Linked DNA regions of Nothobranchius furzeri. The protein of the gene in region 2 interacts with the protein of the main gene of each other region in a pairwise test. Links are inferred from orthologs where the notes say so. Each region holds a gene or a part of one and is shown on either strand. Other genes may lie near its edges.

Evidence for each region.
Region 1: the proteins of prkn (region 2) and syt11b interact in binary tests that used the Homo sapiens proteins (3 or more experiments, as listed by UniProt). The link is inferred for Nothobranchius furzeri from reciprocal best matches to the Homo sapiens genes PRKN and SYT11.
Region 3: the proteins of prkn (region 2) and rad1 interact in binary tests that used the Homo sapiens proteins (3 or more experiments, as listed by UniProt). The link is inferred for Nothobranchius furzeri from reciprocal best matches to the Homo sapiens genes PRKN and RAD1.

What each region holds. Positions count from the first base shown.
Region 1 is NC_091745.1:59,982,174-59,984,606, reverse strand, and holds part of syt11b (synaptotagmin-11b), read left to right. Parts: coding exon 1-3; intron 4-771; coding exon 772-892; intron 893-1,439; coding exon 1,440-1,750; 3' UTR 1,751-2,433. UniProt on the Homo sapiens protein: Synaptotagmin family member involved in vesicular and membrane trafficking which does not bind Ca(2+). Inhibits clathrin-mediated and bulk endocytosis, functions to ensure precision in vesicle retrieval.
Region 2 is NC_091752.1:62,529,356-62,533,013, reverse strand, and holds part of prkn (E3 ubiquitin-protein ligase parkin), read right to left. Parts: intron 2,945-3,658; coding exon 2,781-2,944; intron 2,701-2,780; coding exon 2,340-2,700; intron 2,261-2,339; coding exon 2,145-2,260; intron 1-2,144. UniProt on the Homo sapiens protein: Functions within a multiprotein E3 ubiquitin ligase complex, catalyzing the covalent attachment of ubiquitin moieties onto substrate proteins. Substrates include SYT11 and VDAC1.
Region 3 is NC_091746.1:58,355,273-58,359,030, forward strand, and holds the start of rad1 (cell cycle checkpoint protein RAD1), read left to right. Parts: upstream 1-905; 5' UTR 906-995; intron 996-1,656; 5' UTR 1,657-1,663; coding exon 1,664-1,858; intron 1,859-1,977; coding exon 1,978-2,086; intron 2,087-2,168; coding exon 2,169-2,326; intron 2,327-2,466; coding exon 2,467-2,567; intron 2,568-2,729; coding exon 2,730-2,828; intron 2,829-3,691; coding exon 3,692-3,758. UniProt on the Homo sapiens protein: Component of the 9-1-1 cell-cycle checkpoint response complex that plays a major role in DNA repair. The 9-1-1 complex is recruited to DNA lesion upon damage by the RAD17-replication factor C (RFC) clamp loader complex.

The DNA.
Region 1 (2,433 bases), on a different chromosome or scaffold from region 2:
CAGGTGAGTTCAGACCTCCTTCAGCACCTCAGACTCAACACTTTACATTTTTTCTTTTACTGACATTTTGGGAAAAGGTCAAAGGTCATTTAATTCAGCTAAATGGTGGTCCTGCTGAGATTCAGCGTTGAGTTGGACTCAATAACTCACAATCATCTTGTCAGTGTGGCGCCATGTGAAAACACTCCTCTGCCGTTTCTGTCTGATTGACTGATGCTTCTGTCAGCTGTTACCATGGCGACTGGTTGGTCCAGACAATCAGCTGCTGTGTTCTGGTTTCATCAGGTTAGTGTCGGCTGGAATCCTGCAAGGTTTAGGCCTCGTTACAGAAGAATGTGTCTGCTGTCCAGCTGGGGCTAAGTCACTAGGCTTCATTGTTTTATCATGCTTCATGTTATCGGTATTGAAGACGCCACAAGTCGTGATCACTTCAGCTCCCCTCACTACTTAACCACCTGATTAAGTCAATAGCCTGATGTAAAAGTCCCCGTACAGGTCAGCCATGTTTGATCTGAGTAAAGTAAGCTTTTATTAGCCAGGCCTTCTGAGTCTCTTCTCTGGCGTCATGCTGCTCATCCTGGTCCTCTACTGGCTCCTGTTGGTCAGCGAGGACCAACTGACTCTCAGGAAACGTCCCATGAACATCTTGGTGTTTGTTTTTATTCAAAAGAAAAGATGCGGCAGCTGTGAGTTTATGGTGTCTAAAAGTTCTGAGAGAGAAACTAACAAAAGAAAACAGGCCCAACTCACTTACTCCTGGTTCTGTTTCAGTGTGAGAGTCGTGGAGAGCTGCTGGTGTCCCTGTCCTACCAGCCCGTGTCCCATCGTCTCAGCGCTGTGGTTCTGAAGGCCCGACACCTCCCTAAGATGGACATCAGCGGCCTGTCAGCCAGTGAGTAGAACCAGAACCAACTCAGCTCAGGCCCAGGTGAAGGAACTCTGTCAGTATAAGAGACAGAAACCCCAGGTGGACGGTTGCCACCATGATCCTAATCTGACCCACTTCTTTGCGCTTCATCAGCCTTAGAACTGGTCGGAAATCACTAAACTGGTTCCAGATCAGCATCAACTGATCCCAGGAACCTTTTCCATCAACATCAGGTTGAAACGGTCTCTTAGGACTCTTCATTCCTTCTTCTTCTCTCAAACCTTATGTCCTGTGTGGCAGAAAATGACGTCGCATTAAGTTGTGCAGGTGGAATAATGTTCAGCTGCCCTCCTGATTTTTTTCTCATTTAATATTCCTTCATCTGATTTCCTGTCCTGATCCCTGCAGTGAGGGGAATTCCCTCCTGGGAACCAAACAAAACCACATCCTGTGAAGCTCAGGGCTCAGACCAGCATATAGAGAACCACTCAGCTAAAGGAGGATGACTCCAGAACGTCTGGTATTTGAGCAGAAAACCTAATGATCTGACACATTCTTCTCCTGCCATCAGATCCGTATGTGAAGGTGAACGTCTTCTATGGCCGTAAGCGCATCGCCAAGAAGAAGACCCACGTGAAAAAGTGCACACTGAACCCGGTCTTCAACGAGTCTTTCATCTACGACATCCCACCAGAACTCCTGCCTGAGATATCTGTGGAGTTCCTGGTGGTCGACTTTGACCGGACCACCAAGAACGAGGTTCTGGGCCGCCTGCTCCTCGGTCTCCACAGCCCGTCGTCCTCTGGCACCTCCCACTGGAGGGAGGTGTGTGAAAACCCCCGCCGGCAGATCTCCAAATGGCACAACCTGAGCGAGTACTGAAGGAGGAGAAGCTTCAGGAACCAGCTGATGGCACCGAGCAGCTGGGACTCCACCAGTGAACCCCCACTGGAAACAAACAGTGTACAGCACATACACACACACACACACACACACACACACATATACACACACACACACACATACACTCCTGCAGCACACACACTGTTGTGGTGATACTTAAACTCTTCGTCTCTATTATCTCTTTACAAACACGACATTTGCAAGTGTAAGAAGATTCCTGCGGTTCTTTTACTAAACAAAAAACAAACAAACAAGCGGCCCATTTCAGACACTGTCCTCGTGTCTCCTCTGGCTGTGTGTGTGTAGACGGGGGAAGGAATGCTCTCGTATAATTAAAAACTAAAAGTTTACTTAAGAAAAAAGAAAAGATCCCCTCTCGCTGTCGTTGTCATGCACTTCATTGCATGTCTGTCTGAAAAGAAGAAGTAAACCTGAGTGATGATCTGGGAGAAACCTCAGCTCCATAACAACATAACCCAACACTGACTATATCCAGTAGAATTACTCCTCAGTATAAGAACTGGTGCTGACGCCCTCGGACATCCCGCTCTGACGCTTCTCCGCGCTGACTAACCTCCTTCTCAGAAGGTCTTTGATTTAGTCGTCAGCATGCTTCCCGTCTGCAGCGGTCCTGCAGAAACGCGGCGTCCTGATCCAGAACC
Region 2 (3,658 bases):
ATAATGATAATAATACATTTTATTTAAAGCGCCTTTCAGGGAACTCAAGGTCACTGTACGAGAATGATAAAAGTCAAGCTAAAAGTTAAAAGCAGCAACAAATCACTCATAAAAACCCTAGGAAAACAAAACAAAAATCAGATAACAAGCTATCTCATAAACAAAATGAAGTCTGGAAAAGGTGAGTTGTTAGTTTGGATTTGAAGGTGGGAAGGGAGTCAGAGTTCCGGATGACTTGTGGCAGAGAATTCCAGGGGGGGGGGGGGGGGGGATCATCTGAAGGATCTGAGGACCATGGAGGTGGCACAGAAGAATGGAACAGTAAGGTGGATGGAAGATGACGATCTTAGGGACCAGACTAGAGAAACAGTGTGAATGAGATCAGATAGATATGAAGGACAAAAATTGTGAACAGCTTTGAAAGTGAGACGTAGGACTTTGAACTCGATCCACTGTTTAACTGGGAGCCAGTGGAGTTGCCGAAGGACCGGACTGATGTGGTGAAATAGGGGCATGCAGGTGATGACTCATGCAGCAGAGTTCTGGACTAACCGGAGCTTGTGGAGGGTTTATTGAGGTAGACCAACCAGAAGTGAGTTACAGTAATCTATTTGGGAAGTAACTAAACTGTGGATGAGAATAGAAGCTGAATGGGGAGTAAGGGCGGGGCGAAGGCGATTAATATTACGAAGCTAACCGAGTGACATTATTGATATGAGATGTGAATGACAAAGTGCTATCCAGAATGACACCCAGGCTCTTAACCTGGTGGGAGGAACAGGTAGTAGAGGAATCAATGCTAAGAGAAAAAGTTTCAGCTTTGGATAAGATGGATTTTGTACCAACAAGTAAGACTTCGGTTTTGTCACTATTAAGTATGAGGAGGTTGGAGGAAAACCATGATTTAATTTCAGTTAAACATGGGGAGAGGGAGGGGGAGAGAGTTGGGAATCGAGTTTGGAATCAAATAGAGCTGGGTGTCATCTGCAACTGAATGTTAAATTTCCAGAAAATATGACCTAGTGGTAGAAGGTAAACAATGAAGAGAAGGGGCCCCAGGATAGAGCCCTGGGGCACACCTCTAGTAACTGGGGACAGGTCAGATTTAAGTTTTGATTTAAACAACACTAAAGTTGGGGCTCATCTGAGGTTCTGGAGAAGCTGATTCCATATGTGAGCAGCATCTCTAATTTCCCTCTGGGATTAATGAAGTATCTTGAATTGAATTGAATAGCAGCTAAATGCATCTCCACCATGTTTGGTTCTGACCCGTGGTTTCCAAGGGATTTCAGAGCCCTGTTGGGTGTGTATACAGGAATGAGATCGGACATGTATTTTGGTCCCATGCCATTGAGTGATTTATAAACTAGTAGGAGCATTTTGAAATCTATTCTGTAGTTTACTGGTAACCAGTATAGGGATCTAAGAACAGGAGTGACATGCTCTGTTCTCTTAGTTCTTGTTAAGACTCTAGCAGCAGCATTCTGAACAAGCTGCAGTTGCTTCACAGCTTTTTTGGAAAGACCAGTTAGGAGACCATTGCATCCATCCTAACCTTCTTGTTGCCAAAGACAATAACTTCAATCTTGTCTTTGTTTAGCTGAAGGAAGTTTGACTGCGTCCAGTCATTCACTTGTTCTAGACACTGACAGAGTGAGTCCAGTGGCCGACAGTCACTAGGTGATAGGGCTAGGTAGATCTGCGTGTCATCAGCATAGCTATGATAGGCGATGTTGTTATTAAGTATGATCTGACCCAGGGGGAGCAATCAAGACATTATCAAAATCACTTTAGATAAAACAATCATTGTTCTATGTAATTGTAATTAACCCGTAAAGTGAGGAAAATCATTGTATAAGCAAGAATAATATTATTTTATTAAAGTTAAGCGTTCCATCTTCTGGAGGAAGACACACGTAAACAAGGCAGAAAACCAGCCTTGTTATGACAGGTTCCCAGATGGAGGTAACCCTGGTAATACTCTTCTATACTACATATGTAGTACTGGTCATACTCAATATTACTATACAAAGCAATTACTCCATAATGTTCGATATTACTATAATATAGTAATACTACAGAGTATTGCTATTCCTCATCCATTCTAGCAGTATATAAGCTCAGTACACAGAAGCAGTACTTACCCTACTGAGCGTTAACGTTGTCTCTTTGCAGACCCAACAGCGAACGCGAAGTTTTCCAGGCTGAATGGAACTGCAGCTTTTACAGTACACAAAGAAAGTACTACAGACACGCACATCTGGATACAAACAACATGTGTTTCACAAATACTAGCATTACATGTCAGGTACAAACATCTGGATGCAGAGAGTATCAACCTTTCTGAGCCTCAGCTTGCTGCTCTGATCTCTGAACTCTCTCATCAGCACAACCCTCCTCTCCTCCTGTTGCTCCTCTTGTTTTGTCTACTTCTCCTCCCGTTGCTCCTCTTGTTTTTTCTACTTCTTCTCCTCCTGTTGCTCCTCCTTCCCCTCCTCTCACATTTGCCTCTAGGATAACAGCAAGTCCTGAGGAGGTTGCTGGGAGACGAGAGGAGCTCAGGTCTAACCTGGTCAGCCTACGCTGCTCCTTCTCTCTGACTGGAGACAGGTGCTCCTGCAGGAGGAGGAGCTGGGAGGAGGAAGAGCCTGGAGGAGGGTGGACCACATGGACGGTACTCTGCTCAGGAAGGTCACAACCCTGAGAGGATGAGAAGGAGTAATGTGAGAAGTAACCACCTGGTGAGCATACCTGTAAATGGGTTAGTTGTAGGAGCTCACCTGCAGGGAGGTGGAACTCTGCAGCTCCCTGCCAGCAAACAGCACTCGGAGCTCCTCTGGACTGACTCCCTGTCGACTCCCCACCACCTCCTTGAGCTCAGCCACACTTGCCTCCTCCTGCAGCTCCACGGCCACACCAGGCCCCAGGTTGTACCGCACAAACACTGCAGGAACACAGGTGGGCCTCAGGTGAGAGAGTGCTGCAGAACTTCTAAGAATCCGTTTTTTCCTGAATTAAACCCAGCTGAAAAAACTGAGTAGTTTTTACGTTGTGCTTTGGTGCTGGTTTAGCTGCTGGACCAGCCTCGAGACACAACATTTGCTAGTGACACCTATGCTGTTGTTTTCAGCAGGGAAGGTCAAAAGAAGCTCCTGAAGTCTTCGACTGGGTTTTCTGCAGCTGGAGTCAAGCTCCCGTCCTCTTCCAGAGACCTGGAGCTTCAGGATTCTTCCCAGTGTCTCAGTTGTTCGAGGACCAGGGATCTCATTGGTCTTGGAACCACAGCCTTCTCCCTGGTGTTCCACACCTCTATGCATCTAAATAAGGAGATGTGCATGTGTAGTTCTGCTGGCTGTCTCCACATGTGTTGAGGGATAAAGCTTCTCGGCACGTCATAAGCTACAGATGCTTTTTAATGTAATAGATAATATCCTCAGTATTCATCCACCAGTGGGTACTGAGCCCTCTGTGATGACTTGCAAAGCATTTTTGAGGTTTTTTGTGGACAAAATAGTCTATATCAGAGCCCAGATTCTGTCAGACTCTTTCTGGTCCCCGCTAAGACACTTTTAGTCAGTTTGATCCGCTTACGTCGGACAGCCTTTGGGTTTATGTTAACTCTGTAAAACCTGCTGGTTCTCCCTTGGATTTGACGCCC
Region 3 (3,758 bases), on a different chromosome or scaffold from region 2:
TCTGACCTGTAGACTTCAAATGTCGTGTATCTGCCCATAACCACTTTGCTGACCACAATCCTACACATTGCGATCCCAAACAGCTGTGTTAAGTTCTAGATAGCTGTGTACATTGACTTTCATTCATCGTTTTGACCGACTATAATATCATGTCACCACTGAAACTCACCTGGTGCTTTTTCTAAATGTACCAACTCATTTAATCTGGGTGCTTCATTTGTACTTATTTATTTTGTTTTTTACATTGTTCAAATATCTTTTAGTTCACTTTGTGAAATGTTATAGTTCCAAATGGGTAGGTATAGGGCTCAGATAAAGGATCACCAAAACTCCCAAGATGCAAACTTTATCAACAAATCTGCAGAACATACCTGAAATTAAACCAACTGAGACTGAAATACTGGGAAACTTTCAATTCAATGTGGCTAAAATAAACAAATACTAATAAAAATAAACCTCTATGCAGTTTTAGGTTTGTTACATGTATGTTTGTAACAGTAAGAGCAGAATGCAAAGTCACATGTAAGTTTCTGACATGCGCACAATCTTTAACCACCAGACAATCATTTTCTAAAACCAGACCAAAATAATCAGTTATACCTATTCAACTAAACAACTAATTTAGGGTTAAGTCAGTGTTTTCCATTACACACATACAGCCCTGAGACTGATTAGCCACCACTAACTTCCGGTTAACGTTTGCTAACCGGCAAACATAAGAAACCTAAATATTACACGGCAATATCACTATGACAAATACATTTAATTTACAAAATATTACCTCAAGATACCAAGCGGACAAAACAACCGTGTTGTCACGTAATTTCTTAGCGAATGTTGCCTTTCCCGATTATTTCCTTACTCCGAAAGCTCTGGAACAAGACGTACCAACCAACATTAATGCCACTTCCGGGGAAGTAGATGACGTAGCGGAAGTTGTTCGAAGCTCGGCGCTTTTCTTCAAAGCGCCCCATCTGCTTTGGTATCTAATTTTTGTGAGTGACTTACATCTTTGGTAATAGTTTTAAATGTCATTTACGGAAAACTCTTAATAGTGAAAAACATCTACCGGAAGTCGCAGCGTCTCTTTTATTTACAGCTTCCGTGTTAATTTTGTTGTTGCTCGGCTAGCTACGTTCTATGTGCGTAGATGCTTTTGTAAAGCACCCAGGAATTAACACACTTGAAGTGAAACCTACATGTTACTTGTCTGCATTTTGATTCGCGATGTAAAAAACTGTTTATGTATTTACATGGAAAAGACCTGCCAGGAAACGCCAAAAGACAGTAGAGTGGCAGGAATTTGTTTTTCTTTCAGCTGTATTCCTTTACAAGACTCAGCTGAAAGAAAAACACTCAAAAACATAAGATGGGCAAATTATTATAAAGATACTACATTCAGAACAAAATACAGAGTCAAAGAAAATTAAAATATTATGACTTGTGTCCCTAAATGACCAGACATCACAGGAGACACAAAAACAATCTGGTGCAAAACACCTGCAAACTGTAACATTAGCTGTGTGTGTCCCCTGCTGTCCTGAAAGTAGCATGGCCTGGCCTGTTTTTGCTTGTTGACATGGCAAGTTCTGATAAATAAAATATAATTTTATGATAATATAACTGTTTTTTTGAACTCTTATCTTTTTATTTCAGTTCTGCAATGCCTCTGTCCACACAATCTCAAGGTGAAGATGAGCAATACATTTTAGTGACCAGTTTAGATAATGCCCGCAATCTCTCCAATTTACTGAAAGCGATCAGCTTTAAGGACCATGCTGTTTTCACCACAACACCCAACGGCCTGAAAGTCACCGTCGAGGACTGCAAATGTGTGCAGGCAAATGCTTTCATTCAGGTGTGTTTGGTGCTTTTTAAAAAGTTAGTATATTTTTAAAAGAAATCTTTACTTTTAGAATGAATCCCAAATAAATGACAGTTTGCTTGAAACCCTAAACAAAAGTTGTATCTCTTTAGGCAGACATTTTCCAAGAGTTCACCATAAAAGAAGATTTGATCACTTTCCAAGTTAACCTCACAGTTCTGCTCGACTGCCTGAACATCTTTGGGGGAAGCACTTCAGCAGGTCAAATCAGAAACTGAAACTCTATTCCAAACACCTGATGTACAGTTTTAAATGTTTATTTAACCATTTTATAAAATTGCAGGAATTTCAACAGCCTTGCGGATGTGTTACAAAGGGTACGGATACCCCCTGACATTATTCCTGGAGGAGGGTGGTGTAGTCACAGTCTGCAAGATTAACACTGAAGAACCAGAAGAACCGATCGATTTTGATTTTTGCAGCAGCAATGTCACGAACAAGGTTCAATCCTCTGTGAAATCTGTTGAAAAATAAGATAAAGAAAATAATATATTAGTCATTATGTAAAGAAATGTGCTATCCTTCATTAAATCACACCTGTAAAAACACTAAAGCATTTTTAATCTGGTGTAATTTTAAAGGTGATCCTGCAGTCGGAGAGTTTGAAGGAAGCCTTTTCTGAGCTGGATCTGACCAGTGAGATGCTGCAGATCACCATGTCCCCCAGCCAACCGTACTTCAGGTAGACTGTCCAAATTATACTCAGTATTTACTTCCTGGAGCAATCTTTTGCCAGCATTCCATCCACATCTTCCATCCTTGCCCCTACTAGACTCTTGAGTTTCATTTATCACAGATGCCTCTTTCTGTCTAATGGATGATCTGTTTTTGTCCAACTTTTCAGGCTGTCTACATTTGGGAGTTCTGGAAGTGCCCATTATGATTATTCTAAGGATTCAGATATGATGGAGCTGTTCCGGTGCAAGGAGACACAAACCAACAGGTGAGCGCAGTCAGGCTGTAAAAGTGCTTTTATTACATCAGTGGTGTCTCACGGTGCATGTGAGACACTATCCAGCATGTTTTAGTTGTTTCCAGCTCCAACACACTTAGTTGAATGACTAATCCTTCATTTACTCTGAGTGCAGAACGGGAGCTGTACGCATTCCTGTCAGGAAATTTACAGATCCACCCAGATCCTGATACGGAGTTATTTCCAGATGACACAGATTTTCATGAAGTTAAAGAAATTACATTAGCCAGACAGGAAGTGAGACGTTGGTGAACAAAGTGCATCTGGTATATTTTAAAATAAAATGTGTGTTGCATTGTTTTATGGCGTTTTTATTATTATCAACAGGAAAACCAGTACACAGTATAGAATAGCTCGTGTTAAATTTACAGGTATACATTTGAATGTATTGTGTCAGATTTCTTACGTGAGGTTTGGTGCTCTCGCTGGAGCAAATTTCCAGAGGTGTTCTGCTGTTGGTGTACTTGGTCCGTACAGCGGCTGTGTGGAAACCAGATTACATCCGTTCCACACCCGGTGTAAGTCACCCGATTAAAATCAGGTGTGGTAAGGCAGAAGCCTCTGAAGCATGCAGGATGGTGGCCGTCCAGCACCAGGATCAGACATCACTGTTTCACGTAAAAAAGAAAAAAAAAACTGTCACATCACTTTAGGAGGAAGTTCGTTTCCATGTTACTCAGCTCCTGATATTAGACCCTGTAGAGTTCCTGCTTCCTTATGGTGGCTGCAGCAGAGCCACGTTCATTGTCTTTCTTTGCTGCTTTCATGCATCTGTGTGTGACAACAAAAATCTGGTTACGTTTTCTTGCTCTATGTTCCTCCTCCTGTGGCAGATACAAGATGTCCTTGCTTAAGCCGTCCACCAAAGCCTTGACTTTGTCCTGTAAAGTCTCTGTGAGG